4 linked regions of the Diceros bicornis minor genome follow. The protein of the gene in region 1 purifies or fractionates together with the protein of each later gene. This does not show direct contact. Links are inferred from orthologs where the notes say so. Each region holds a gene or a part of one and is shown in the gene's direction. Other genes may lie near its edges. The genes, in order: AGO2, TARBP2, TNRC6C and GEMIN4.

What was found.
Region 2: the proteins of AGO2 (region 1) and TARBP2 purify together in Homo sapiens (co-immunoprecipitation; 10 studies listed by BioGRID and IntAct, with this or other methods). This does not show direct contact. The link is inferred for Diceros bicornis minor from reciprocal best matches to the Homo sapiens genes AGO2 and TARBP2.
Region 3: the proteins of AGO2 (region 1) and TNRC6C purify together in Homo sapiens (co-immunoprecipitation; 6 studies listed by BioGRID and IntAct, with this or other methods). This does not show direct contact. The link is inferred for Diceros bicornis minor from reciprocal best matches to the Homo sapiens genes AGO2 and TNRC6C.
Region 4: the proteins of AGO2 (region 1) and GEMIN4 purify together in Homo sapiens (affinity purification with western blotting; 4 studies listed by BioGRID and IntAct, with this or other methods). This does not show direct contact. The link is inferred for Diceros bicornis minor from reciprocal best matches to the Homo sapiens genes AGO2 and GEMIN4.

What each region holds. Positions count from the first base shown.
Region 1 is NC_080760.1:53,395,556-53,403,278, reverse strand, and holds the start of AGO2 (protein argonaute-2), read left to right. Parts: upstream 1-4,716; 5' UTR 4,717-4,781; coding exon 4,782-4,803; intron 4,804-7,723.
Region 2 is NC_080756.1:16,798,014-16,804,929, reverse strand, and holds the start of TARBP2 (RISC-loading complex subunit TARBP2), read left to right. Parts: upstream 1-3,900; 5' UTR 3,901-4,202; coding exon 4,203-4,255; intron 4,256-4,285; exon of another isoform or gene 4,286-4,504; intron 4,505-4,808; coding exon 4,809-4,978; intron 4,979-5,771; coding exon 5,772-5,874; intron 5,875-6,461; coding exon 6,462-6,557; intron 6,558-6,916. UniProt on the Homo sapiens protein: Required for formation of the RNA induced silencing complex (RISC). Component of the RISC loading complex (RLC), also known as the micro-RNA (miRNA) loading complex (miRLC), which is composed of DICER1, AGO2 and TARBP2.
Region 3 is NC_080757.1:57,902,230-57,910,158, forward strand, and holds the start of TNRC6C (trinucleotide repeat-containing gene 6C protein), read left to right. Parts: upstream 1-4,917; 5' UTR 4,918-5,094; intron 5,095-7,929. UniProt on the Homo sapiens protein: Plays a role in RNA-mediated gene silencing by micro-RNAs (miRNAs). Required for miRNA-dependent translational repression of complementary mRNAs by argonaute family proteins.
Region 4 is NC_080757.1:16,808,159-16,815,188, reverse strand, and holds the start of GEMIN4 (gem-associated protein 4), read left to right. Parts: upstream 1-4,028; 5' UTR 4,029-4,072; coding exon 4,073-4,082; intron 4,083-7,030. Other genes in the region: diazepam-binding inhibitor-like 5, read right to left, coding at 2,785-3,048. UniProt on the Homo sapiens protein: The SMN complex catalyzes the assembly of small nuclear ribonucleoproteins (snRNPs), the building blocks of the spliceosome, and thereby plays an important role in the splicing of cellular pre-mRNAs.

The sequences.
Region 1 (7,723 bases):
ATATTCATGTACAGGTTTATGTATAAGCACGAGTCATCATTTCTCTGGGAGAAATGCCTAGGAGTACGGGAGCCGAACCGGGGCTGCCAGCAGCGGAGCGCGAGCACTTAACTGCTAAGCCACGGGGCTGGCCCCTCTCCTATCTGTTTTTTAAAAGTTTTATAGTTTTAGGGCCGGCCCCATGGCTTGGCGGTTAAGTGTTCGCGCTCCCCTGCTGGCGGCCCGGGTTTGGATCCTGGGCGCACACCCACGCACTGCTTCTGCGGCCATGCTGAGGCCGCGTCCCACATACAGCAACTAGAAGGAAGTGCAGCTATGACATACAACTATCTACTGGGGCTTTGGGGGAAAAAAGGAGGAGGATTGGCAATAGATGTTAGCTCAGAGCTGGTCTTCCTCAGCAAAAAGAGGAGGATTGGCATGGATGTTAGCTCAGGGCTGATCTTCCTCACAAAAAAAAAAAAAAACTAAATAAAATGTATCTTAAAAAACAGTTTTATAGTTTTATGTTTACATTGAAATCTGTCATCCATTCTGAGTTCATTTTTCAGTGTCTTTATGTTAGCGACATCTTGGCTGTTCCTTCCTTGCTATATGGAGGAAAGAAGATATCCTAGAGTAAATGGTGTCTCCTGCATATACATTAGGTGCAGCCCCCTTTTGCACTTCTGTATGCCAGTAAATGACACCCTCTGCAGCACTGTTGTGTCAGTGGCCTCCTGGGGTTGTGCAAGGAGGTGGCTCTGATTGCTTGCATTTTCAGAGTTCTTGATTTAGCCTCTGTTGGGTGCACAAAATGACAAAGTGATTTATGTATTCAAATTAAGTGGTTTCCATTTAATGTTGGGTTCAGTGTGTAGAAATTGCTTAGATGTGTATTTTGTTCCTACTATGACAGAAGTATTTGTCAATTCACAGCCATGCTCTTGAGTTTTTAATTCAGAAAAACAGCCAATACTTTTATTCAAAGAATCTTAGAACATTATTACTGGAAGGCATCATAGAAGAGCTCTACCTCAGTGTTTCCCAAAAGTGTGTTCCCTGGAACCTGAAGGTACCCTGTGATTAAAGGGTTCTGTGGCCAAGTGGGTTGGGACAGACTGCATACCATCTATTCCCCTCCTTCCTGTTTGTAGAATCATGATTCTTAATACTTTGTTAAAGGCTCTGAGAAGGTCTGCAGCCAATAAATCTGTTTAGTGTTGTTGCACTCAATGCTTCCCAATTTGGTTGACCTCCTAACCCCTCTTTTATCACATGTAGAACATGTTTTTGGATCAACTGTTTTATTCCGGTGCCCACATTTAAGTCTTGAAGAAACTAAGGGACCCCAAAGGTGACAGCTTTTGCCTTTCCTATGGCATTTCTGCTCTGGACTGGGTGCACCCAATGTGCAAACCTGGGGCTGACCAGTGTTGGGGTCTCTGGCTCTGATTACTTTCCTGCAGTCTTATCAGAGCATAGGGATCCCCAAATACAAAGCAATGAATTGTATCTGGGAGAAAGACTGGCCTCAGAGTCGGCCCTATGTGGTTGACATGCAAGTGCTGGATGAAGGCCTGGAGGAGCAGAGCAGCAATGGGTTGGAGAGGGTTCTAGAGACATTTCACAGCGAGAATTGAGTGGACCCCGTTAAATGGGTTAAGTTGAGTCAGCGATTTCGGGAGAGGCAGAAGGCAGAGGGGCCTGGGGTTTCTTTGGTGGATGGTGAATCTGTTGGCCATGCTCGGGAACACAGGGAAAGGGCAGACTGGGAGGAGGTGAGAAAAGATGAACTGGGTTTGGCATTGTGGCCCTGAAGCTTGGGGGTGGGTGGGAGGAGGAGCGCTGCAGAAAGGGGGCGGGGTTCCTCAACACCAGCAGTAGAAGGGGATGTCTGGGAGAGGTGGACTTATCTAGAAAAGGACAAAGGAGAACCCTGCTGCTAGTGGCGGGGGAGGGAGAACTCCAACTCAGACACTGCTTGGGCTTCCGGGGAGGCCTGGAGGTGGCCGGTGCAGGCAGCGAGGGCGCTGCTTCACCAGCAGGGGGCCTCGAATGTTCCGTCTCCGCGGAGAAGCCACACAATCAGGCGCTGAGGAGACATTATCTTGTTCGACCTTCTGCAAAGGAACCCTTGCAACAAAGTTACCCAGTGTGTGTGCTCAAAAAAGCAGAAGGCGGAGCTGGAGGGACACAATTACAGAGCCTTCTGGGCGTTTTCTGAGGCTAGAGATTACAGTAGCAAACAGCCTCTGAGTGGTTCAGTGATTTCGGGCAGAAAACAGGATGGTGATGTGTGAGGGAGACAGAGGCAGACAGAGAGTGGGCCCTTGGCAGTCACGTGGCTCATAAATAAGAGACTAATAACATTCATGATTATTATTTTTAAATTTCTTTATTGTGAAACGTAGCAAAGGTACAGAAAAGTATATAAAATATGTACAGCTTAAGAGATGTGCAAAATGAACAGCAGTATTACAGGGAGGAGCCTGCACCCCAAAGGGCCTCCCACCTCTCTGGTCACAGCAACTGCCCGCCACCAGCAGTAGCCATCATTCTCTTATGGGAAACTACCTTTTTGCTTTTCTTTAGCTTTTTGCTACTTAATTATGTGTCCCTAAACAACGTAGTTCAATTTTGCCTGTTTTGGAACTTTTGTAAGCGGAATCATGCAGTATGGCTGATGGATTCTTCCACGCAACATTGTTGAGGTTCATCCATATTGTTGCACTTGGCTGAAGAGTGTTCATTTTCATCACTAGATCCCACTTCATGAATATATATCGCTCTTATTACTTACTCAATGGCCGATGGATATTTTGGTGGTACCCAGGTCTGTGCTAGTGTGCATTCCTCTCCGGGCTTGCTGTGCTTCTAAACCCACATTTCAGCAGCCTATCTCCCTAGGGCCACGTGTGGTTAGCTTTTACAGACACTGCCAAACTTCTTTTTCCAATATGGTTGTACTAATTCACACTCCCACAGTAACACTCTTGAGAAAGTGAGGATGTGGATCTGAAGAAGAAGGTGAAGTGGAAGATTCTGGTAAAGCAGGTAGGGGCTGTGTCACACAGGGCACTGTAAACCAAATTAAAGATTTTGGACCACATGCAGATGGAAATGGGGAGTCAACAAAGGGTTCCCAGCAGAGCAGGAACAACATCAGATTTGTGTTCACAGATGACTGGTGGGTGCAGAGCAGTAAGGGGCTTTTCAGGCGGTCCAGGAGGTGGTGGGCAGATAATTAGAGAGGATGGATGGGCTTCCTGGAGGCGATGCCATGGGATGGAATCCCGTTCACATCAATGATTTGGTGAAGATGGATATCCTTGCAAGTTCCTCTCTGGAGGAAAGGCTGCTTTTCCTGCACTTATTTAGGGATGTCCTCGAGGATTGCAAAGAACAAGTAATAAACCTATTGGATGCTAAGTTCTTTGCAGACAGGACTCCTGTTCATCTTTGTATGACTCTAGGCCTGAGGAACACACAGTCCCTTGCACCCAATATGCAGATAATACATGTTTATAGGATTTAGGAATGAGCAGGCAAGTATGTTAAAAAGATGATGACCAACTTTGGATTTTATTTCACCCTCTGACTTCTAATCACCCACTAATTAGGGGAGAAAGGAGGTAATCCTTGGCTGGTTTCCCTGGAAAAGGCTCCAAAAACCTGTGGAGGGAGACTTGAAGGATGGAGGAGGATTTGGGTAGAGGGGAGAACGTTCTGGCACACGTGGGGAGAGAACAGAAATGCAGAGGAGCGTGATGGGGTCCGCTAAGGGCCCCAGGGAAAGAATGTGGGGAGGCCCCTGAGCGCCGGAAGAGGGAGTTTTAGTTTGAGCTCACCATTGATAGCAGCTGAAATCTACCAAAAACGTAATACTATTTTTACATGGATTATCTGGGTTCTTGGCCGGGAGGTGGCGCTGTGGTAGTATGCAAGGGCCGGGGAGCGTTCAAGTTCAAGCTCCGGGTCGGGAGGAAGCTTCCCGACGTTCATGTTTCGTTAATAACTTAAAAAAAAAGCTCGGCTGAGATGCTGGGGCGCCAGGACGCGGACTCCAAGGCCAGGCCAACACTGTGCCCCAGTTCCCCCGGGCGGGTGGGGGTGAAGGTGGCGAAGGGTCGTGCACCCCACCACCCACCGCGCGAGCAGCCAGAACGCGCTCCCCAAGCGCGCCGGAGACGCGGGGGAAACGGGGGTGTGTTTTCCTTTCTTTCTTCCCGGTCTCGGGTAGCACAGCCGCGCTGGCCCGCTCCGCCCAGCCGAGGAGACGTCGCTCCTCCGAGTGGCTGCGCGGGGTCCCCCCGCCCCGCGCCCGCCCCCGCGGCGGGGCCTCCGCGCCACACCGGCCCGCGCCGCCCAGTCCCCGTCCGGGCCCGCCCCCAGCTCCCGCGCCCCCGCCCCGGCCCCGCCCCGCCCGCGCCGTGCACCCCCTCCCACCTCCGCTCGCTCTCCCCCTCCCTTCTCGCCCCCTCCCTTCTCGCCCCCCTCCCCTCTTTCCTCCCCCTCCCGCGTCCTTCCCCGTCGCCCCTCCCTCCTCCTCGTCCCCCTCCTCGTCCCCCTCCTCCTCCCCCTCCCGTGGCCCCTCCCTCCTCCCCGTCTCCGTCCTCCTCCCTCGCCCCTCCCCCGCCGCCGCCTCCGCCCGCCGCCCCGGCCGTGTCGGGCAGACCTGTTTGGCGAGGCGGCCGCGCCGGGGCGGATCGTGCGGCCGGCGGCTCCCTCGCGGCTCGCGGCGTCGGGGCCCGTGGAGCGCGCGGCCGCCCCTCGCCGCGGAGCCCCTCGGCGGCGCCACCATGTACTCGGGAGCCGGCCCCGGTGAGTCCGCGCGCTCCCCGCGGCGCCGGCGGCGGTTGGCGGGCCGGGCGCGAGCGCGGCGCGGGCGGGGGCCGGGGCGGCGGGCCGGGGGGCGGGCGGGGGCCGGGGCCGGGGGCGCGCCGGCGGGGGCCGGCGGCGGCCCGGGGGGCGCTGGGGCCGGAGCCGCCGGCCGTTCCTCGGCCCCGCCGCCGCGCAGCCCGGCCTCCTCGGGCTCCAGTCGTCGGGGTCCCCGCGCGGCCTGGGCCCTTCCCGCGCCCCCGTGTCCGTCCGCGCGTCGGGCTCCCGGGCGGGGGCCGCTCCGGGCCGCCCGCGTGTAGGCCCGAGGCCCGCGCGCCCGCCTGCCGGCCGCGGCCGCCGCCTCCTGCGCCCGGAGCGCGGGCCCCGCTGCGCGCGGCGGGACGGCGGGACGGCGGGACGGCGGGGCCCGGGCCGTGAGCGCCCGCGGGGGTCAGTCCCGGTCGGGGCGCCGAGCTCGGGGTGCGGGCGGCGGGCGAGGGACGCGCGGCTCCGGCGCCAGACCGAGCCGCGGCGAGCCTGGAGCGCACTCAGTTTCGTTTTTCTTTTTGCCAGCACTTCTGCGGCCCCTTTTCTGAAGGAAAGTCTGGAAATGCTGAATTTTGGCCAATTCCTCTTGGTAGTTAGGACTGTAGACTGAGGGACAGGAAGCGGCACCCTAAAACCCTGAAAGTGCGTGCATCTCATTTTCATTCCAGACACGCCGGCTCCTTATTCAAGTGCTAATTGCTTTTTACAATTTACTAGAAGAAGGTAAGGAGATGTGTGGATCTCCTTAGCACCCCTTCTTACTAGTCAGCCTCTCTCTCTTTGGAAAAGTTCTAAAAACTTAAAGCAGTAACACTTTTTTTTCCCTTAATGTAGAGTGGAAGGGCGGTTGACTTGCTGGACCAAGAGAATGGTCAAGTGTTGTAAAGCTTTTTCCCCCCTATCCCGCCAGGCACGTGGCTCCTAAATTTCCCGGCTAGCCCTGCCACTTGGACGGGGCATCGCCTCTTTGTCCGCCAGCTCGAGCAGGCTGCAGGCCCCGCCGTGCTCCCGGCTTGGTCCTGGCCCCGTGCTAGGTGCATTCAGGTTCCCGGCCCTCCGGGGCCTCCTGCTGATGGGGCCCTGGTGGGACCTGCTCCAAACTGGGAGTCTGGAAGCCCTTCCTGATCCACTCGGGGGCCTTGACGTTGTCCCGCGCTGTGTCTGTTCACAAACAGCTCTATGCCTTGTGAGTTCTGAGTGTCTTGTTTCCGATGTTACGTAGAAAGCTGCTCCCAGGCTGAACCTGATCAACTTTTAAGGGCTCTCAGCAATTTGACTGAAGAATGGTTTTAACCCTACACCTGAGAGGTGACTCAGCCTTGGTGGGGAAGGGCCCTGGGCTCTGTTGTCACAGTCCTGGGGGCAGATTTGGCTTCTTGAGACTGTGGGCTGGCAGCGACCCCACCCGTGAAATGGCAGGGTAGTCCCTCACCTAGTTGAGTGAGTAGAGCCAACAGAGGCTCAGAGAGGTTAACAACCTTGCCAAGGTCATATGTCCAGTGAGCATTAGGACGATCTGTCTGATCCCAAGCTGCCTTTTTCTACACTCTCCTTAGAGAAGTGGCTGTCACTCCTTTTGACCTTGACCCACAGTAGGAAATACCTGTTACATCTGGACTGCACCCGTTCGCTCAGGAATAATGGAAACGAGCTTCAGGAAGCACACTTAGCTTACTGTGTGCTCCTTGTGGGCATATTTTCTCGTCTGTTTCATTTTTTAAAAATGCCTCAAGCCTTTGGATCTCCAGGCTCATTTCTGGTCCCTAACAGCTTTTGGAAGAATCTTGCTCTGGTGCCGGTCTCTGCATTGTGGTGGGGCCCCACGATTCACAGATGAACTAGCCCTGGAGTCCGACAGCTTGGGTTGAAAAAATAAATAGGTCTGTAGGATAGTTCTTAGCTAATGGCAGGATGGGAATGAACCCAAATTTCGGGCTGTACAAGTGTGCTGTAGTTATAAGGCTGTGGTACAGTTCAATTTTATTCTACACACTGAGGCTTTTAATTTTGTTGAAAAGGAATTTTTGGAATAGAATCTCTTCAACGAAAGTCTTCTTAATCTTATATTTCCTAATTTAGAATAATGAAAAGACATTCAATCTGGATTGTAGGGAAATTACAAGTAGTTTTGCTACTTCCAATTTTAATACACTTATTAAGCAAATTACTAAGTAAATTAATTTAAAAAATAGAGTTGACAATAGGTCTGTGATATTCCCATTACAGATGCTATTATGGATGTGAATTAATATCTGGATTCTAAAGTTAGGTATGTTACTGTTTCTTAGTTTTTTGAACTGTTCCAAGGAGTTAGTGGTTTAGGATGGGTAGACTCTCAGTGACCCTGAACCTTCATAGATGAACATTAGTTCTTTTTAAACCACTTAGAGATCTTAAACTGTGTCTGAGCAATAGCCTACTCCAAGCAGATTGTTTCTTTTCATTTTACTGTGTTCAAATTCCTGTGTGTTACACCCTTGACAGATTTGCTACAAAGTAACTTCTGTAGTTAACTTCTGTTAACATCTAAGTCTTGTTTGAGAGTTGTCTAAACAGGGTTGTGACTTTGAGAGTAATGGACTTTCGCTGTCCCTTCTAGTGCCATTTAACTCCTCCCACAACCAACTTCTCACCCCACCCCCCTTTATCTCAGTGGAGATATGATGGGGGCCCCTGATAATGGTGCACCTTCGCTGCAGCAGATGCCCCTGGTGAAGCTGCTGCCTGCTGCCGGAAGGCATGGCTGGGGAGTTGGGCAGAGTCCTCTTGGATCTGTTATAAATGAAGAACGATTTAAATAAGCGTGTAAGAAAAAACGATGTCAAAGCTTTGACTCCTAAAACCTGTATGGTTTTACGAAGCAGAATATTTTTTG
Region 2 (6,916 bases), on another chromosome or scaffold:
GTCAGACAGGCCTGGGTTCAAATCTTAAACTCTCACCACATACTGATTTTTTGACTTTGAACAGATTACTTAAGTTCTTTAAGTTTCAGTTTCCTCATCCCTAAAATAGAGATGATGACAACACTACGTAACTCTTGTCTTGTTAGGAGCATTACTGAGATAATCCAGATTAAGTTCTCGGCCCAGGAGTTGGCCCCCAGGAAGCTCCCTATAAACATCAGCCATGTGGACAGTTTCTAACAAGCAGTAGCAGGTTTTTTATAAGTGTGACTCCCATCCCTCTTTCCTTTTTCCTCCTCTGCAAAGCAAGAGGCAGTAGGGAGGGTACAGGTGGAAAGGGAGGTAGACAACACGAGGGATAAAAAGGAGAACAAAGAAGGAAGGAGCCAGAGGGCAAGGGCTCTTTATCCCCGATGGTCCTTACTCTCCTCTGTAGTGTCCCTGCCTCCTCGTCACCTTCCCCCAACACACACACGTGACCCTAGTCCTGCTGGGAGCCAATGAAGCAGACAGACCAGGCTCTGTGGCTAGCCCTCATGAAGCCCCTCTGTCCGCTGCTGGCATCATCTCCACACTCTCCTCCTTCTGCCCAGCAGGGACTCCTGAAGGGTTGATTCCCTAATCCCTTCTTTCTCCCCAGCCCAGGCAGGGCAGTAGGTATTAGAACAGTCCAGGCCAGCGGGTACTAGAATTTAGGGAGCTCTTTCTGGCAAAGCCAGACTCCCACATCATCACCGCCAAGGGAAGAACTGGAAAAGAGCAGTTGGTTTTTAGAGGGGCTTTGCCATCCTCAGCTGGAAGGACACCCAGGAAGTCCTGAGCCACTTCCTTCTTTAAACTTCTTGCCTCCTCTGCCCATAACTGGGTTTTATTAGGGGATGGATATTTACTTGTGCATTTTCCTGTGTGCTGGAGTTGGGGTATCACACTGTTGGTCTTCCCAGCATCACCCCAGTCCCACTGTGAGTGAAGAGATGAGTGGCAGGCTTGAGAGGGCAGACATTCTTGCCCACCCGTAAGTGTGAGACAGGAGAAAGCAGGCCCTACAGCTCAGAGGAACTTCAGTGTCTGAACAGGAGGGCCTGGGGCGCACTTGGGGCCTTCCCTTCCTGTATCCCCTCTGCTCGCCTTCCCTTGGTGTGACCCTCTGGCTGAAAATCAGGGCGCCCAGAGCCATGGAGTCCATCCTGTGAGTTGGAAGGGAAATGGTGTTTAGAGGAAGGCACTGACTGTGGCACAGAAGGACTCCGGGCGGGGAGAGACCTCCTCATGTGCACTTGCTTTGGTTGAGGGCCACTCACTAACTCCTACCAAGAGGGAGCGCGGCACGGAGCTAAAAGTCAGGACTCCTCCCTCAGTTCTAAGAGACACCCCACTCTTTCCTTCTACTGTCTATAGAGCCTCTGATCCCTTCTCTTCCCTCCCCTGAGCCAAGGCCATGCTTAACAGGAGACTTAACTCTAGGGATAGGATTCTTAACTTATTTTTAAGCCAAGGAGTTTGAGGAGTATGTGGGGAAAAGGGAGGAGGTCCAGGAAAGGCCTGGCCTGGGGAAATGGGTTAGGGGAGCCAGAGGAGATGGAGAGAGAGAGGGGGAGAAAACCACATATGAATGGTGGAGGTGGGGGATGCAACAGCTGGATGGAGAAGGTGAATGCCACAGCTGGAGAGGATTGGGGGCATCACAGCGGGAAGGGGGGGACCATCACCTGGATATCCCAGAACAGGTGCTCTAGGCCTATAATCCTCAGGGGAGTGTGTGTGTGTGGGGGGGGCAGGTTGAGGGGAACGGTGCACACATCAGGCCTTGTCCTTCCTTTCCTTCCCTCAGGGGCCAAAACTCTTCCTCCTCCTTCCCTCTCCCCCTTCTTGAGGATGAGTGGGAGGAGAGGAGGGTGTTCTCTTGCCCGCTGTCCTTTAGGTCTGTCCCCCAATCACCCCCCAACCCCCACCCCATACAGTCCTTCCCAGCTCTGGAGGCCCTTCGCCTCCAAGCTGGGCCGCGGCGTCCCTAGGCTCCGTTCCCCTCCTTCCCATCCCCACAGACGTCGGGTCCAGGTCCCCAGTTCCTCTATCCCCACAGCCTCAGCATCCCCGCGCCACGCTCCCTCACCCTGCCACATCTGCATCCCGACCCTCCCTCCGCACCCGGATCCCAGGACCCGGACCCATCCCTGCCCCCCACCCCCCCCAACTCGGCCCGGCTCTCACCTCGGGGGCTCCGCGGCCGCAGCACAAAAGGCGGCGCTGCTGCAGCTCGGCTCCGGATGCTGCTCCCGCCTCCTCCTCCTTCTCCTCCTCCTTTCCTCCTCCCCCCGCTGCCCTCGACCGGACCCGGGGCGCTGTCACGGGCGATGCTCGCGCGGTGTCCGGGCGCACGGGTGTCAGCCCCAGCTTTCTCCCCCCACCCCCCGACCCCTAGCCCCGTCCTCACTCGGCTTGAACTCCCGCTCCTTCCAAGGCCCCCGCCCCTGGCCCCCCGGGACGGACACGCCCTGAGCGGGGGATGCTGCGCTGGAGCCGCCGGCCTCTTAAAGGAGCCCGCTGCTGCCATCCGGCGCGCTCCAGGCTCGTCCCTCGCCCGTCTGGGTCTCTCACCGCCCTGCTGGCGGTGTCCTATGGCAGTCCCACCTCAGGCCTTATGCTGATTCCATAGGAGCCCCCTATGACCGGTCTTATAAACTCCCTTCTTTACCCTGAGACAGCAGCCCCTCAGATGGGAACCCCCAGCGCTCTAGCATTGTTCCCCCGTCATACCGACGTTGCCAGCTTTCTTTCCTCTAATTGTTACCACTCCAGTTCCATCCAGTTGGGATCCACTCAGCTCAATACCCCGTCGCCCTCCAATGTTCTTGGATGACCCCTCGTTATCATCCCAAGATTCCTCTGGACCTCCACCCCCCGCCTCAGAGCAAGCCATCTCTTCCCTGACCCACTCTCGGAACACTCATTAGAATCAGACATTTTTCATGATCTCTCTCTTTCCAAGGTCACAAGATTTTCCCTACATCTTTCAGCCCAGTGGCTGTGAGACTTTGGCGAGGAGGGACTGGAGCTCTGGGATCCAAAAATACGCGTTCTGCTCTGCACTCAGATTAGTCGATTAGTCTTAAAAGAACAGAACTCTCTCTTTAACTGAGAGACCCAAGACCCACGGCAGAAGGAATGAGACCACCACGTCCCTTAGTCCTTCTAACCCTGTCGTCCCACTACAGCCCAATTCTCAGCTCCCAGAGGGGGTCTCCTGGCCAGCTACAGAAAAGTTCACTAGGCTTTAGAAAAGAATCGGAAACCCCAGAGGCTGCGGGGCAGAATTAAGGAGAAGGGAGGTGAAGGACAACCTAGGAAAAGGAAGCAGGTTCTGTAAGACTAAGGCCCGGGGTCAGGCGCTTAGGCCGAAGGCTGAGCGGGAACTGAGACGGACTTGAAGGTACAAGTGCCCTACCGCTCTGAGGGGCAGAGAACAATCCCCTCCAGCGTCCAGTTAAGGCCCACCCTCCCAGACTGGAGGAGCCAGGAACCGACAGCAGCCTGGTCCCTGGACCAATCACAACCTTTTCTCAAAAAAGAGGCGGAGCCAAGGGGGCTGACTCTCCATTGTCCCCTCGCCCCTAGGTGAGGTAACGAATCGCAATCCACCTAGAACAAGCAAGCGCAATCGGAATAACCAATCACGCTGTGAAGCTTCTCGTGCATGCTTGACCCTGCCCCTCCAGCTGCGACAAAGATGGCGCGCGAGCTCTTGGGTTCTGTAGTTTTCTCGGGATTCGAAGGCCCTGGGGCTCGAGTTAGCCCTTACCGCCCCGCCCCCGGCCGCTTCCACTCCGCTAGTACGCATGCCCAAAGCCCCCGTCCAGGGGAGAAGAGACACGAAAGGCAGGAGGCGGGACGATATGAAAAGAAAAAAAAAGCCAACAAAAAACCACCCTCAGCTCGGGAAGCGACAGTGGAAGGGTCCGCTCCTCCCAGAAGGCGGTGCTGCCTGCTAGGGCGAACCACGCGGAGGGTTGTGGGGCGGATAGCGTCCCTCCTGATGGAGACTCATGGAGTCGGGTGGGCGGGGGACTCCATATCCCAGCATGCCTCGCGGCGGGCCCGACCGGCCGCGACTCCGGGCTTGGCCCCGGCCCTAGCTCGTCGGCGGTGTATCGGGGCGCGTGAAGGCTGCAGTCACGGTGGCGCCCGCGGGGACGGAGGAGGGAATGAGTGAAGAGGAGCACGGCTCCGGCACTACCACGGGCTGCGGGCTGCCCAGGTGAGCCGCCTCATACCGATCCCTGTAGGGCTGGGAGCGTGGTGCGGTGCGGAGGGGGTAGCGGCGCGGCCCCAGCATGCACCTGGCCTGAGGGTTGTTCCCGGCAAGCACTGGGGTAGTGGGCCGTGGTTCCCGGCATGCATCCCGGCTGTGGTCACTGCCTCCAGCTCTAAATAGTTTGGGGTTGGCCCGGTTCCCAGACTGTACTGGGGCCACAGGGCTTTATGCCCCCGACATTCAGTGCATTTGGTGGGTACTGGGTTCCTGGCCTGCACTGTGTCAGGGGACATGCACTTTCACCCTGCACTGGGGCACAGGATCCCCGCCTTAACTGAGACAGGAACAGTGCGTTCCCGCTTGCCCTGGGGCAGTGGGCTCTGCTTTCCCAGCCTGCACCTCTGCTCCACACTGAACCCAGCCAATGGCTGCTGTATTGCCTGGGGTCCCCTGGACCCTGTGTCCCCCATAATGTGCCTGGGTCTGATGTGGCAGTGCTTGGCCAGGTGGGTGCAGAGAGGAGAGGTGTGATGACGGTCTGTGCCCCTCCCCCCAGTATAGAGCAAATGCTGGCAGCCAACCCGGGCAAGACCCCGATCAGCCTTCTGCAGGAGTATGGGACCAGAATAGGGAAGACGCCCGTGTACGACCTTCTCAAAGCCGAGGGCCAAGCCCACCAGCCTAATTTCACCTTCCGGGTCACCGTTGGCGACACCAGCTGCACTGGTGAGGAAGGCTTGGGCAACCTGGCTGGGGTGTGCATTCACAGGGCCCCGTTGGCTTTATTTCTGGGAGTCTCTTCACAGTCCACTTCTCCAAGGCCAGTGAGGGAAGGAGAGATTTCAGGGGAAAAGCCACTGAGTGGATTGGGAGAACAGGTCTGTTAGGAGGTGGGTAGGACTTGGGAGAGTTAGAGAAGCAAGCAGGACTGCCACAGTGGTCTGGTGGATCGTCATCATCCTAGAGGAAAAAGTAAGAGGAGATAAACTGACATCTCAGCAAAGTGTTTGGGGACGTGAGTGCCCGCTGTGCTCTCTGTTCCAGGTGCTCTGTTTCAAATTCCTCTTAAATCTTAGACCTCAGTCTAATCCAGTGAGGTAGGGGTAGTATCCTCATGTTGAATGTGAGGAAACTGAGGTTCAGAGAGATTCATTGACTGGTGCAAGGTCACATGCCTAGTAAGTGGCAGAGCCAGGCTTTGACTGTAGAGCCTGCTTTTTCTACTTTTCCAGCCATCTCTATTTATTGAGAGGAAAGAAAGTGCTGGCCAGAGGAAAGTGAGACAGAGAAAGAATCTCCACCCACGGTGTCTGAGTTCAGGAGCAGTTCTGCCTGGCATGGCTTGATTTGGGGAGCTCATGGAAAGATAAGGGCCTTTCCTTCCAGTCTTGGACAGGGGGAGGTTGGTGAGAGGGGGCTTGGTTGACTCCCTCTGGCTGTGAAGAGAGAGGCTGTGGGATGCTGGTTTCTCTTCCATCGTTCCAGTGACCTCCAGTATTGCCCACACCCCCTCTCTCAGGTCAGGGCCCCAGCAAGAAGGCAGCCAAGCACAAGGCAGCTGAGGTGGCCCTCAAACACCTCAAAGGAGGGAGCATGCTGGAGCCGGCCCTGGAGGACAGCAGGTGAGGGAGGAGGAGCCGAGGCATCCTAGAGGCCCTGCCAGGAGCCCAGGCCCCTGCGCCAGCCCCTCCGCCCGATAGGCCTGGCCTGGTGACACTTAGCCACCTTGACCTGGCCTTTTCCTGCGAGTTTCCTCTGGAACCGAGCAGGATGCTTCCAGGGCTCCTGTTGCTGTGAAGGGTTCTGGGGGGAATGGCCAGCCCCACCGAGGGGTCATGGCTGTGGTTTGGGGCCCAGGCTAGGGAGGGAGAGGGGCGGAGGCTGAGGCTGGAAGGAGTTGCTGCTCAACATGCCTCCTCTTTCTTAGCAAGCTGTCCCTCCCTCTTCCACACTCAGGTCGGGAGTTTGTTGCTCCCATGGTTCTTGGGTAGGAAGAGACCCTCCTCCCCCTGTTTCTCAGTCTCTTTGATCTGGTGTTGGCAGCAAAGGATCCCAGGAGCAAGAACTGGTGGTTGAACTTCCCTGGCTCTTTGGCTCGAGTGGGAAGGAATTTTCTTAGGGGATGGGCAGGTCAGGAGGACCTGGGAGCCCTGCCCCTTGTGCCCCCTCCTCATGGGTGTGAATCAAAGGCCCCCTTCCCCTCGGGAAGTTCTTTTTCTCCCCTAGACTCTTCACTGCCTGAGGACGTTCCGGTTTTAACGGCTGCAGCAGCTGCTACTCCTGTTCCGTCTGCTGTCCCAACCAGGTATCTTGTGTTTCCTGACTGCCTGAGGCGGGGAGGAAGGGCTCCTGGCTCCTGGCTCCTGGCCCCTGGCCCCCAGTCCTTGGACCCAGGCAGGTCAGGCATGAGGAAGTCTGAGAGTAAACAGGGGATGGACTAGCTGGGGACCAGAGTTTGAAGAATTTGCACCAGCTGGTAAGCTCTTGGGACAGGAAGTAATTGATGACTTTTAAATAGCCATGTGGATGATGTTTGACCATGTTTAAAGGTCTTGCAGGCCCCATTTTCTTCTGAGCTGGCCACATGATGGTCCTGTGTGTGAGTCCCACCAGGTGCTTCAGGGACTGGATATACAGCCCCTCTCCCACTGTCCTGGGGAGGTG
Region 3 (7,929 bases), on another chromosome or scaffold:
AGCTCACCATCCATCCACCTCTCACTGGGCAAGAAAAGCGGGCATCATCCTTTACCATCTTCCTTACTCACCATATGTATCAGCCCCAAGTCCCTGGAAGTTCCCTGGAGTTAAAATTACCTGTCAAACGTATCTTTTCTCTTTCACCTCTGTCGCCACTCTGGTTGCCTCCACAGGCTCTAATTTCCTGGCTGCAGGACTTGGCAGGCCTCCACCCTGTGCCATCACCTCCTGCCCCAGCTTCCCTGTCTTAACCTCCTTCTCGTCATCCACCACAATGTTTCCACAGAGATCTCTCGGACAGCCAAGCGCAATGTTTAGGGTCGTTCAGGGGCTCTTCATTGCCTTCAGGGTAAAGACCAAACTCCTTCATGTGTCATGAGATGCTCTTTATCATCTGGCCCCTGCTCATCTCTCCTGCTTCCTTTCCCTCCCTTCTCCTTATACATGAGCTGTTCCAACCCCATTGATACTTTGCAGCCCCCTGGAAGTGCCACACTGCTCTTGTATATTTCTTTTACACTGGCTGCTCCCTCTGTCTTCAATGCCCTTCCATCAGCTTCTGACCATTGCTCCCCTTGCATCCTTCAAGACTCAGATCAGAGGTCCCTCCAGAATGACCTGGGTCTCTCCTCCTGCCCTCTTCAGCACCTTGCATGTATTATAATCATAAGTCAACCATGGCTTTCAGCTTAAATCCCCAGCACCTAGTCCACTGCCTGGGACATAATACAAGTTCAATAATTGTTCAATGAGAATCTCTAACTCAGTGAGGAGTAGCGAGGAGATGTCTGAGGCCCAGAAAATTGCCTAAGGTCAAACAACCAGTGAGCTGCGGATTTGAGATTCAGCCTTGCTCTGATTTGAAGATTCTTCCCTCTATTCCAGTATTTTCCTCAGTGTAGTGGGAGGACAATTGCACCAGAATCACTTGGGGGAATGGTTAAATATGCTGCTTCACAGGCCCCATGCTGGACCTAGATGAATCTGTATTTTAAACAAGCTACCTTGGTGATTCTTATGAACAGAGTTTGAGAGCCAACATCCTATGCCTTGCTGCCTGTTTGAAAGGCCTTTTAAGTTTATCACATTTTTCAAGGCCAAGTCAGTTGCCATTTACTGGTGACAAACAGGGAGAACTGAACCCCACCTCCACTACATTTTCACTGAAAAGCAATAATTTATTTGAGTCCTGAAGCTTTTCCCTTTAAGAGTCCTCCATTGATGCCAATTCTACTTATAGAACCAAGAGATTGAAGAACAGAACAAGGGACTTCAGGAGGAAGCAAAGCAGCCCTGTGCCGTGGGAAGTGGCTGGGAGTGGAAAGGAGCAAGTATCATGCACAAATAGAACTCTAAGAAAAGCTGCCCTTTATCACTTGTTTTATTCACAAATTTTAGCGTGTGTCAGAATCACCTGGAAGGCTTGTTAAGACACTGATACCTAGGCCCTATCCCCCAAGTTTCTGATTCAGCAGATCTGGCAGTTGGGTCCAAGAAGCTGCATTTCTAACAGGCTCCCAGGTGATGCTGATGCTGCTGGTCCAGGGAGCACACTTGGAGAACCGCTGAGCTAATTCAACCTTCGTGCCCAATGCAGTAATCTATTCTACAGTATCCATGGAGATAGGGATATGATTGCCCTGTCTTTCTGCTTAAACCAGATGTGGATCTTGTAACATTACAAGCAGGAGTTTCTATGGACAACCTTCATAATTCTTCCTTGAATGAAATAAAAATTTGTCTCCAAACCCTCCACCCATTGATCCCAGGTCTGCCTTCTAGGTTCTTGCAGAATACACTGTGCCTATTTCTACATGGGAGTTCTTTAAATATTTGAAGACAGCCATCCTGTCTCTTCTTCCCTATACCAGCCTCTTCTGCTCCTGCAGCCATTGCTCAATGACTGGAGGATTTCCATCAGCAACCCGCTGTTCCCCTGAGACAGTCTTTAAGTTTGCCGATTTCTTTCTTACACCATAGAGCCCAGAACTGGTCTTACTATCCTGTGTGGGATCTGACCAGCTCAGAGTGCAGTGTTTGGAACTGAACACTATCTTAATGTAGATTGTATACTTTTTTAACAAACAATTTCTCACATTTAGCCATGTTGAGCATGTGGTCGCCCAAAACTAGAATTTTTTCACATGAGCTGGTGTACAGGTAGGTCTTCATCTGTTCTTAACTAGTTGACTTTTCAAAAAAAAATTATTTTATTGAGGTCACATTGGTTTATAACATTGTGCAATTTCAGGTGTACACTATTATATATCAGTCTCTGTATAGACTGCATTGTGCTTACCCCAAATAGTCTAGTTTTTATCCATCACCATACATATGTGCCCCTTTACCCTTTCGCCCTCCCTGCTGCAACTAGTTGACTTTTTAACTTAACTACATTTAACGTTTAATCCTCTTACATATAATTCTGTCGGTTTTGCCCATTTTTATAAATTATTAACTCAGACCTTAGTTATGAGGTGGTAGTGGCAAGGCTGATAAGAGGATGACAGACCCCAAAAATGCACTTACCCACTTTACAGCTTTGCTTGGGGGTCTTTGCTTACACTCCATTCAGTCAAAACAGCCACTAATAAGCGACACTGTGTTCTGCAGTGTCCACACTCATGGCCATCATATGCCTCAATGTTGCTGGATCAACTCTAATTTCAAATATTCTTTCTACTGTCCACATGCCAAACCATGAGTCTAATTTTTGGCTCAGAAAATATGGCCAATATAAGCACTACCTTTTCCCCAGGTATTTACAGTCTAAAATAACAGAAGGAGACAATTATTTTGCCTGGTTTAAGCTGAGGGAGGGGGATACTAAAAAGTACAAGATAAAGAAAAGTTGAGAGGTTACAGTCACAAATTCAACATCAAGGACAAATATTAACTAATGTAATTTTGGTTCAATTTTCCAAAAGTGAAGTTCTGCTTATTACAATGATTGCCCACGCAGGTACCCGGGTTCTTCACAGATTTAGCAATCTACCTAGTGGATGCTACATATTTTGAAAATATTATTTTGCACTCCCTCCTGGAGAATGTCTCTTTGAGAAATAATAAAATATGCAGGTTTCTCCTCAGTGAAGAATTAATGTAAATAAAACGTTGAATGGAAAAGGCAGAATCCTCTATGTCAGCTCCGTCTGACTTCAGACCCTTCTAAGTGATGTGGGTTTTCGGGAGGAGAAATACACAACACAGACAGACATGTGAAGGCGGCTATAGAGAGTGGTTTGTGAATCTGACTGCCGAAAGCTTAAAATATGACAGTAAGAAAAAAGCAGTGCACCGAGCTCATGGGACCCTGAAGGGAAACGAGCGCGAAGAATTTGTTGTGTCTCTTTCATCCACAGACGTTTCAAAGCATGACCCTTGCGGTAACAAAACTGCATTGCGAAAGCAGCGTGTCATTATGTGCTCTTCAAGATGGGGACACGTAGACAGGGAATGGCCTCCTCCAGCACGAACAACTTTCAAGGAGCCCCGCTGAGCATCCACTGCACGAAGGGGAAAGCTGGCCTGCTTCCATGACCCTTCATGAAAATGGAGACAATTCTTGGTTTCAAAATCTTCTCATGACTCGAACCAAAAGTTAAAAAGGGACTTTTAAATTGCACATCGCTCCTGACCTTATCTACGATTAATGTCTAATGTCTACAGAAGAGGAGCGGCGGAATGGAGGACCACGACGGGTTACCGAGCGCCGGGAAGGAACCGTGGAGTGTGCAGCCGGAGCGCCCGGTTCGGCCCGGACAGCCGTTTGCGCGGTGGGGGCAGTGCCGGTGTTCCAGGGGAGAGGGATGTCTCCCCGGGGGCTGTTGCGCAGCTAGGCTTGTTTGGCTCGCAGCAGGGCGCTCCCCGGGGAGCGGCTGCGCGCAGGGGCGGGCTGGGAGGCGCGCTGCGAGCAGGATGCTCCCGGGCCAGGCCGGCGCGTGTACGTGTGTGTGCACGGTGGGGAGGTGCAAGGCGTGTGCACGGCACGGGCGCGACGCGCGCCAGTGCGGGCGCTGGGCGCCGCTGCATAGAGGGCCAGCGCCACCGGCGGAAAATACCGCGCAAAACCCGGGCCCGGGAGCCGCGAGGCGCTGGCCGGGGGAACCGAGCGGACGCACTGGGCCGGGTCCGCGCCCCGCCGTCCAGCGTACTAACGCGGAGGCACAGCACCCAAAGACTGGGAAGGACGCCGCGGGGGTCGCCACGCACCTCAAGCTGAGTGCGAGTCACCGAGACTAGCGCACGCGCACTCTCACCCCGGCGCGCTCCCCACACGGTCTGGGAAACCGAGGCGCGACCGGGTATTAAGGGGTAAGGAGAGGGCGTGGCCTACCGAGACGAGCCAATGGGCCGGGGAGGGGCGCGCGGGGGCGGAGCACGAGTGCAGAGCGCCGATTGGCTAGTTGGCCCTCCGGTATGCAGATACAGTGGAGTCACGTGCCGGGGGCCGGGACGACTTCCTGTTGGAGGCCAACGCGGGGCGGGGAAGGGGGCGCGAGCGCCCGGTCTGGCTGGAGCGGGGGGAGGGGGGGTTCTTGTCAGTTAGAGCAACAAGATGGCCGCGGTGGCAGCTCCGCACCTCAGCGCGACGGCCCCGGGAGCCGCAGCCGCCGCCGCCGGCCCCGCCGCCCCGCAGCGCTGAGCGCTGCCCCGGCCGCCCCCGCCGCCCCTGACAGGGCCGTCCCTGCGGCCGCCGCGCTCCTGCCGCCGCCACCGCGGGCCCGCCCGAGCCGGAGGCGGAGGGAGCGCAGCCGGCCGAGCGCCGAGCGCCGCCGCCGCCTCCTCGGATCCCGGGCCGCGTCGGAGCTGCAGTCCCGCCCGCGGGCGCGAGGAGCAGGGCGCGTCGCGGCGTCGCCGGGGCCGGACCTGGACCTGCCGGGACGCGCCGCCGCCCACCCGCTCGCGCCGCCGCCGCCGCCGCCGCCGCCCGCGCCGGGACCTGAGCCCGCGGCGCCGGCGCTGAGCGGGCCCCCGCCGCCCGAGCGCCCCGCAGGCCCCGGGGCGGCCGCTCGAGTGGTCCTCGCCGCCGCCAGGCCAGCGCCGCCGGAGCCCCGCCGAGGAGCCGCCGCCGCCGGGGACGGAGCCCAGGTGAGCGCGGGCCGGGCCTCGAGCCGCCGCGGCTGGCCGAGCTGGCGGCGTCGCCTTTGTTCGGCCGGGCTCGGAGCGGAGGGTCGCGGTCCCGGCGGGAAGGGGTGCGCGGCGCGGGGCGGCGGGAGGAGCTGCCGCGGCGCGGCGCGGGGCCGGGGCGTGCGTGCGTGCGCGCGGGGTGAGGCTGGCGGGGCCCGGTGTGCGGGGCGCCCGCGTGATCGGCACGGGTGTGCGGCAGCATCAGCTGTGTGTGTGGTGTTCTGGTTCTTACACTGGTGCGCTCGGTGGAATCAGGTTCTCCCCAAACAGGCACCGCGGATTTTGTGTTTCTGATGGCATGCACGAACCGAAGTGTTTTCGGGGTAGGGCCTCCCGTGCTGTTGTCTGGGGGAAGAGCAAGCCCCTGGCGTGCTCTGGAGGAGTGTTGGGGGCCCCGTGGCCCCCTGCGGGTTTGGAATCAGGTGGGCTGCTCCCGGTGTTGCAGGCTGCGGAGCGATGCGCACGAGGAAAGGGAGCCGCACCGCAGCCGTCCTGCGATCAGATCACGTAACCCGAGCGTCTCGGTGCCACCTTTGCTGGAGCGACGCCTCTTTCGCACCTTTATCTTGGGGATGAGATTTGGTTCACTGATTCGTAGCTATTAAAATGTGCACATGCTAATAGTGGGGTTCCCTGCCGGTTGACCTGGCGGAGAACCCATTGGCTTGCAGGTTCTACGGAGATTTGGGAATCTCACCGAAGATGCAGGATCGCTGTCTCGATGCCACGGGGCGGGGGAGGAGGAGCTGCAGATCCTGGCTGCACATATTGCGTTTTAAGGCACTCGACGGTATCCCTGATTCTGTACGAAATGAGTGGAATTGTCTCGAACCTTTGCCTCTGTCAAATGAAACCTCCATTTGAGTGGTCTGCTCGGTTGTATCTAGGCGTGAACTACGGATTCTGAACTCAAAATGGTGCTCTGTGGATGTCCAACTTGAGCGTCTTTAAGGAGTTGCAAGTTAGAGGCGTCTGACTGGTTTAATCCATTGTGTTGCTGAGGTTCGGGTTTTCTCCTCTATCCGGTATTCTCGTCGCTGTGCTGCGGCCGGTATAGGTGGTCAGTTAATGATGAGCACTGTGTGGAGGCTGCTAGGTCTCTGAGCATAACTTGACTCTGCAGAAGGCTTATTTTATGCAAGTTATTTCCTACATTTAGAATTAACTATGGGGATGAGTCGAGACACTGGAAATGTGGCTTGAGTGATCTCAGAGGACAGTGGTGGCCAGTTTGAAACGTGTAGGGGGTGCTGACAATTATGTGCATTGATTCCAAACCTCCTTCGGTGCTGTGTGAAAGAATAAAGGATAAAACTTAGCAGATGGACTTGGTTGGCAGAGGGCACCTTGAAGAAATTTACATTATTCCATAACCGCAGAGGTGGTGAAGGTCTTCGAACACCTTTCAGTATGACACCCCTAGGATGCTTTGTTGGGGAAAGTGATGCGAAACGAGGTTTTAAAAATGACTAGCCCAATTATATTGTCCGAGTTAATTTTATTGTTGGTGTTCACAGAGATGATGATAATCTGGATAGTTGTTGCTTTGTTTACCTGTACTGAAAGGTTTTTTTCTCCTCTGTAGAAAGTTTTTAATATTTCTATTTTCATAAGAATAGACATTCTTAGAACCTGATTTTGTTTCACATGTTGGATCTTGAGAAATTGATAGCCTAGAAAATGATAATGGTAAAATTATTGGTTAAGTTATACTTACAGTGACACATAATAATTTCTTCAAACTAGCACTTCCTCAAGCAGCAGAATGGATCTGTGGGTCCCAGATATTATATATATATGTATATTCAGACTTGATTTTATTATGAGGATCTAGTTTTAGAAGTCTGATTCTAAGTCTTCCATGCTTCTTGTTTAAATCAAAGACCTTATTGACCATACCTCTGTTTTACTATTAAGGTATGAAATTATTTAGGTTACCACTGAAGCTGGCATAAGACTGAATCCTATTTCATTTTTGATTGTGGCATTTAAATATTTTAGTAGCAACGTGGGATACATGTAAAGGTTGATTTTAGGTTTTCCTCCTTTCAGTGTTTATTATTGTTCTTTTTCAAGTGGCATATGTTTTAACACTTTGACACAGATTATTGTGTAACAGATTTATATTTATACTTAGTTGGCTCAGAAATCTTAGAACAAATAGTTGCATTAGAGTGCTGAATAATTATGGTGGAAAGTGGGGTGAACTGTTTCATTTGGCTCTCAATGATTAACATATAACTAAGTCATGAGGGGAATATAGGAAACTTTAAATCACAGTATTTCTCACCACCACCACCTTTTTGTTAAACAGCTGGCTTTACTGAGATAAATTTGTGCTTTTCCAAATGCTGTCATCTGGCTCACTTCCAAAACCAAGCTGGAGGAGGAGGAGGTCAGGGCTGGAGTGGGGCAGCCTTTTTCCTTAGTGAGGAGAGCTTTCAGTGAGTTGGAAAGAAATGGAAGATAAAATTCCTACAGTACTGGCTGAGAATGGGGTATTTGCATTACTTCCCCAACTCCAAGTGAGGGCAACGAGGTCCTGAATGTAAACTTACTCTTGCTTGACTCAAGCAAGTGATGCTAATTTTAAATTTAAAAAAAGATTACTAGCGGAAATTAGTTTATTTCTCCATTATTTGATTTGAGTATATAGAATGTCTTTGGCATCGTATAACTTCTCTAACAACTTAACATTTTAAGGCTTAAGAGCCATTTTAAAGACTCTTTATGGGTCTTTTTGGCCTTCCCCAGGAGGAATTAGATCCATGAGATTGCATGCTTATGTTTTAGATG
Region 4 (7,030 bases), on another chromosome or scaffold:
TTTTTTTTAATGTATCTTACAGTTGCTTTCTGCAGTCCTAATTATGGTCCACTTTATCAGGTTTTATAATGATTTACAGAATGATGTGGCTATACCTACAGCTCCTAAATTGACGCCATATTTTGGAGCAAGATGTTCCATTATTATTTTTACTATTAATTCACATTTAATATTAATCATGGTCCTAAAAGCATCAAAATGTGTTCATAACATCCTCCAAAGAAAAGAAAACAGCACAATTATTGTACAGTGTGGATCATGCCCAGTTTATAGTTATAAGGAATATTTTTTTAGTCACTGGTGTCCTGGGTATACTTCATTCTTAAGTAATGTACTTAGTTTATAGCAGCTTCCTGCAAATGTGTGAACAGAAGATCTGAAGAGATCTGGTGAGATTTGGTTTCTTTGTCCTCCGAAGTCTTTATGGTTTTTGCTTCTATTGTTTAATGGTTTTTCATGAACTGGAGCTGCCCTGATAGCTATGAAAATAGGTTTTTTTTTTTTTTTATGAGGAAGATTGGCCCTGAGCTAACATCCATTGCCAATCTTCCTCTTTTTGCTTAAGGAAGATTGTCCCTGAGCTAACATCTGTGCCAGTCTTCCTCTATTTTTTGTATGTGAGACGCTGCCATAGCATGGCTTGATGAGCGATGTGTTGGTCCGTGCCCGGGATCCGAACCCATGAACCCCAGGCCACCAAAGTGGAACACATTAACTTAGCCACTGTGCCACTGGGCTGGCCCTGAAAATAGTTTTTAGTTGAGGAAAAGTATTAGGAAATTCTATGCCATGGCAGATGTTTTTCCCTGAAATGTCTTGAATATCATTTAGTACTCCATATCCCAGTGCACCACTGTGCATTGATGCCTCCGTGATAAGGAGTGGAAGCTGAGCTCAGGTACTTTGGCCCTTGCATAGGTCATGGGGTGTGTTGTGCTCATAAAACAAAACCCATATACATATATATACGTGTTGTCCCACAAACATCCCCAAGCAGAAACCAGGCTTAGCTACAGGGTAGTCCCAAGAAACTTTTGTCTGCGTGGCCTCAGATGAGTCTTTCAGAGGCTGGGATTTTGAAACCATCTGCTCCAGTCTTTCTCAGCTTCTGTGTTGTGGTGCATCAGTTACTTCACTTAAAGTTTGACTCCCCTCAAAACAGTAACTTAGGGCCGGCCCGGTGGCTTAGCGGTTAAGTGCGCACGCTCCGCTACTGGCGGCCCGGGTTTGGATCCCGGCCACGCACCGATGCACCGCTTCTCCGGCCATGCTGAGGCCGCGTCCCACGTGCAGCAACTAGAAGGATGTGCAACTGTGACATACAACTATCTACTGGGGCTTTGGGGAAGAAAAAAACGAGGAGGATTGGCAATAGATGTTAGCTCAGGGCCGGTCTTCCTCAGCAAAAAGAGGAGGATTAGCATGGATGTTAGCTCAGGGCTGATCTCCCTCACAAAAAAAAAACATTAACTTCATCAGGACTGTATTCTAGTAGGGGCTTTTGGTAATAGAACTTGACTTGAGCTTTTTGGAAGACAAAGCTCCTTTCCCCTCTGTAACGGTGGGTTAGTAGTGAATCCATAACCCCTGAAGAGATTAGGGGCCTCGGCCTCCTCTCCTCCCTTCCCCTCCCGCAGAGGCTGAGCCTCTGGAGAATGGCTCACTGACCTCAAATCTTGGGCATTTTTATAGCATGATTCTCCCCCCCAGTCCTCTACTCCTGCCAGATGTCTACATATGCTCTGGGAATAGAAAGACTGGGAACTCTTTACTCAGAATCATACACAAAGCCAGTTTTGATGGAACTTTTCCCAGAGAAGAGATGCTTTTTATATATTGTGGACACCTACCTAGGACTCTCACAGTCACCGATACCAGCTCAAGACAAGGTTGACATAAGGGAAGCCATATTGTAGAAAAGAAACCCTGTTGTAACTTTTTTTTTTCATATTATTTATTTATTTTCCCCCCAAAGCCCCAGTAGATAGTTGTACATCACAGTTGCACATCCTTCCAGCTGCTGTATGTGGGACGCGGCCCCAGCACGGCCGGAGAAGCAGTGCGTCGGTGCACGCCCGGGATCCGAACCCGGGCCGCCAGCAGCGGAGGGCGCGCACTCAACCGCTAAGCCACGGGGCCGGCCCTCCCTGTTGTAACTTTTAATGGCCTCTGACTAGCCCAACTGGATATGCACCCTCCAGGAGATGTAACCGCTCTGTAGATTTTACAACTCCTGCTTGTGCATGTACCTCCCAGCTGTGATGAGATGATAACTTTGTTCTTTTGAGTTCCTTAGGAATGTGATGACCCCCTTACAGACAGTCTATGCTGATAGCCATCATCAATGAAACTGAAAGATCTGGTGTGGCGACTCCCAGTCTGAGGGTTGACATTCCTAACCCCCTCCCCTATACCCCACCGGCCTATATAACTGCTGTAAGATTTTGTGCCCCCTTAAGATGGTTCTTTGAGACATTAGTCAGCCATCTTCCCCCTTGCTAACAAGATGTGATAAACTGCCCTTTCTTTTCCACCATCTTGCCTCTTGATGATTGGCTTTTGTCTTGCAGCAAGCAGATCCTGCCCTTTGTGCTGTAACTTGACTTTGAGTTTATCACTTTTCCAACAGCAGACAATCACTCCCATGCAGTTTAAGTGATTTATTGATGTCTCAGCTATGGTTGTTATGGTTTCAGGACATTTCAGCCATCAAGGTCTTTTAAGAAGCCCTTTTCCCTACCAGAGGCGCCGTGCTACTTCGGTCTGACTGACACTCTGTCCTCCTTAACCAGTATCGTTTTTCTTCAGCTCTTCCACTTTTGCAACATAGATCCTTATGGCGTCCATCTTGGACATCCCTTTGTTCTGGTTCCATGCCTCCCACTTGGCCTTGGCTTTCACGTCTGTGGTGGGCGGGGCAGGGATGTTGCAGTCGCCCTGGGTGGCCTGTTTGTAGAAGCTGTACACCAACAGTTTCTCTTGATCACTCACAGGTCCCTTCAACTGCTTGATAGCAGCACAGGCCATCTCAAACTCCACCTGGCACATTGCAGGAGCTGAGGCGGCGCCCCTCTGTCCTTTCTAGGTGGTATCTGGCGCTAGAAGCTGGAGGGGAGAGAGTTAAAAACGCTTGAGGCTGGTAGTTAAGTCTGGAAAGAAGGGAAAGGGAGAAAAGGAAACAGGGTAACGTGTGAGAAGCCCATAGGATATTTGTGTGTGTGTTTTCTCAGAAATCAAATGTGTGTTTTTATAAAGTACAGATTGCAAACTGGAGTCCATTGGACTGGATCTGCCCCCACAGTTGTTCTTGCTCGAATTTTCTGGGGAGGACAACCATTAACATTTCAAAGGAGTCTATGATGCCAGAAAAGAAGGAGCTGCTGCTGCTGTCTGAAGGCCGAGCACTGGGGCGATTGTGGGCTGTGGGGCTAGGCGGCTCCGAGCCGGAGATGGGCAGACCCGCTGCGGGGGGCGAAGCCTCTCAGAGCATGGCGCGTCTATGCTGGTTGGGAGGCAGCCTGGGGAGAGGCATTCCGTCTGGGTGAACTGTGTGCGGGGGGATCCCGGGGATTACCGAGTCGGGGAGGATGCGGGGCCAGGGACGGAGCTAAAGGGTAGGATCGACCGGGACTCGAGAAGCAGGGCTAGGCAAGGGACTGGACAGATGCGTGGCTGAGCGGAGCACTGAAAGCAAGGCGGCCGGGCCTGGTGGCCTGGGTCGGGGCCAGACGTTTTGGGGGCGGGCAGGGACCGGGTAGAGGGAAGGGCGGGCCCGCCGCGGTGGCAGAGAGGCGCAGGCACCTGCCTGTCGGCTGGTTGGAGGCTTCGGGCCGATAGGGGGCGCTGCGGGCCCGGCGGCCTCGAGGCCGCGGGCTCGTTGGTAGGACCGCGCGTGCGCGCCGAGCGGCGGCAGGACTGTGCGGACCGCGCGGAGCCCGAGCTGAGACTGGGGGCGGTGCCTGAGGCGCGGCCTATTGTCCCGCCCCCCCGCTGCCCATTGTGCCGTGGCGCCTGCGCCGCGCTCGCGGCCTTGGGGGGAGGGGCGCCCCGCGCTGCCGCTAGCGTCGCCGCCATGGACCTAGGTGGGTGTCCCGGCTGCCCGGTCCCGGGCCCGCCTGGGCCGCGTCCCGCGACGGGCGGCCGGGGCGGTGCTGAGCGGGCCCGGGCCAAGGGGGACCTCCTGGTCGGGGGGATGTTGGGGATGGGTGTCCTCGAAGAGCGGGGGTCGGGAGGCCGGGCTCTAGCCCGGGCCCCGCCGCTGCTTGGCCGGCCCCTCGCCCTCCGGGCCCCTTTCCACGCGAAAGGCCAAGCGGATGTGTAGTTAGATTTCCTGAAAGTGGACCGGACTCGAGGGCGCCCCGGGGAATCCCGGATGCCCTGGCGGTCTCATTTATTGAACGTCTACTGTGTGCTTCAGCAAGTGTCTTAGGCTCATGAGGCCCTCACTGATAAAACGTGGATGATGATAATGTAACCGCCTCACGGAGTTGAGGGGTTTTCGTGGAGATCACGTGTATACAGCGTCTGGGACGGCGCCTTGCGCGGAGCTAGCGATCATCAGACCAGCAGTTGTGGGGAGGGGTTGCAGCAGCCGTCGGGCACGTGCATCTTGACTCAGAATCCTCAGGCAAGGTCTAGGAGAAGGGAGCGGGGCGCTGGTATAAATCGGTGGCTCTTTGCCCAGCTTCCCACCCTGCTGGACAAGCTCTTAAGGGGATAAGACAGGCGGCTGTTCTGGGAGAGCTGGGGGAGGTACCCCAAGATGCGCCAGTAATAGTAGGCTGTGGAGAAGTGTTCCGGTCCCTGTCCCCAGACAGCTCTTCAGTGGTGGGACGGTAGAGCTGCAAGAGTCCTGCAGCTGTGGTGATTTCTGTCCCAGACCTACCGTTTTTAGTTGCGACATCCTGAGCAAATTGTTTCTGAGTCTCAGCGTTTCCATCTCTAAAACAGGAATAGTCCTCAAAAGGTTGATTTGAGGATTAGGAGAGATCTTACATGCATACCACCTAGCACAGTGCCTGGCATGGAGTAACCACTTAATAAACATGATCAGTGGGCACTCACAAGCACCGGTTAACCAGCAGTGATAAAACACTTGGGATCTGCCCAGGGATAAACTGCTTCTGGGACTTATTCCTTCAAGTAGCACGTGTATGTACTTATGGATTATGTCTCTGGAAGCTAGGTGTTGGGGGAAACATCTCAGTTGAGCTGATAATGCAATAAAGTTAAATTTACAGAGTCATAAGGGAACATATATGAGGGCCCTGGGAGAGCAGCCTGAGTAAGAAAGAAGGGCCAGAGCCCCTCAGCAACCTACCCCTCCCTGGGAGTCTGCTTTGGCCACTGGGAGCCAAGGTGGATTGCTTTCACTAGTGGTTGCATAGGAGGGCTGATCCCTTGGCCTTTTGCTGCTCCTGTAAATGGTCAAAGGGGTGGGATATTCTGTAGTCTCCTGGAATCTGGATTTTTTCTCGCCTCCTGGGGTGTGAAAATGGGGAAGATGTATTCTTGGAGGCATGAGGGAGTGAGGAAGGGGTGGCATCTCTGGGTCCTGGGAACGGGGGTGGGGGGATGGGGATGAAAAGTTAAGAATACTGAATAGTGAGCTGGCCTGGTGGCACAAGGGGTTAAGTGAGCGCGCTCCCCTGCCGCGGCCCGGGGTTCGCCGGTTTGAACCCCGGTCGCACACCAATGCACCGCTTGGCAAGCCGTGCTATGGCGGCGTCCCATATAAAGTGGAGGAAGATGGGCATGGATGTTAGCCCAGGGCCAGTCTTCCTCAGCAAAAAGAGGAGGATTGGCAGATGTTAGCTCAGGGCCAATCTTCCTCACAAAAAAATAAAAATAAAAAAAAATACTGGATAGTGAGCAGTGTTTGTGCTCTGATTTGGTTTCTGGGCCAACGTAAACAAACCTGAGAAAGACCTGTGTCCTTTTTTGTTTCTGAGCTGGGGGAGGCAAAAGATAGTGACAAGATTCTGGTCCTGCCAACAATAGAAAGGTTTGGGGAAAGCAATGTTTTTTGAGCACCTAATTGGGCTCTTTGTAGCCTGACTCTTATCATAGTTATAGCTTATTTAACCCTTGGCAGACCTGGCAGATGGGATTGGGAGCTAACAGTGAGCACCAACCCACTGCCACGGGTTTGACTAGTATAGAGCATTTGATCTTCACAGTCATAATATGAAGTCTGTATTATCCCCACATGCAGAAGGGAAGCTCAGAGAAGTCATCTGTCCAAGGTCACACTGCTTTTAAATGGCTGAGCTAGGATTTAAAACCATGTCTCATTAAACATCCCAAGATGCCTTCCTTGATAAGTCTGTGTCGATTCATGGCTCACTGAAGGAAGGACTTTTCTTTCTTAATCTAGTGCAGTATTTTTTTTTGTATCTACCTCTTGGTTTCTACCAGAGAACCAGGGCCATGAGTAGCTTGTTCTCTTTGATGGAAAGAGCCGTGGGGTGAACTGTTTCCATGAAAGGCAGAACGTTTGAAATCTGTTTGCAAGACAAGGCTATAAGAGAAAAGTGCTTGTCTGATTGCTTCCGTGCCTCTCCTAGTCTGTATCCTTACTTAGAAGCTCACTTGTCACGTCCTGCAGTATGTACTTGGTGGCCCCTGCGGTTGGGTATTGTCTTTGTGCTATTCTCCTCTCTCTCTCACTCAGCCCTTCCTCCCCAGAGCCTCTGCTGATCCATCCTTTGCTGGAGGGCCTAGCCTCAGAGGTGGAGCTTTTCCTTTTCACTTGCTTTTCCTGCAGGATCTCTCTCACTTCCTTGGTTCCAGTGATCCCCTCTGGGCAGACACCTCTCTGAGTCACATTTCAGGGCTGACTTTCCTCATGAGTGTCAACCCCACATTTCCATTGCTGGAGGACGTCTCTACCTTAATGTTCTACCCCAGACTCCAAATAACCAAATCTAAACAGTGTTCCCTCCAAACCTGTTCTGATTCTCCTGCATTCCCTATTTCCAGTGGTACCTGTTGTCTTCCCAGTTCCAGGCTAGAGAACTGGGGAGTCCTT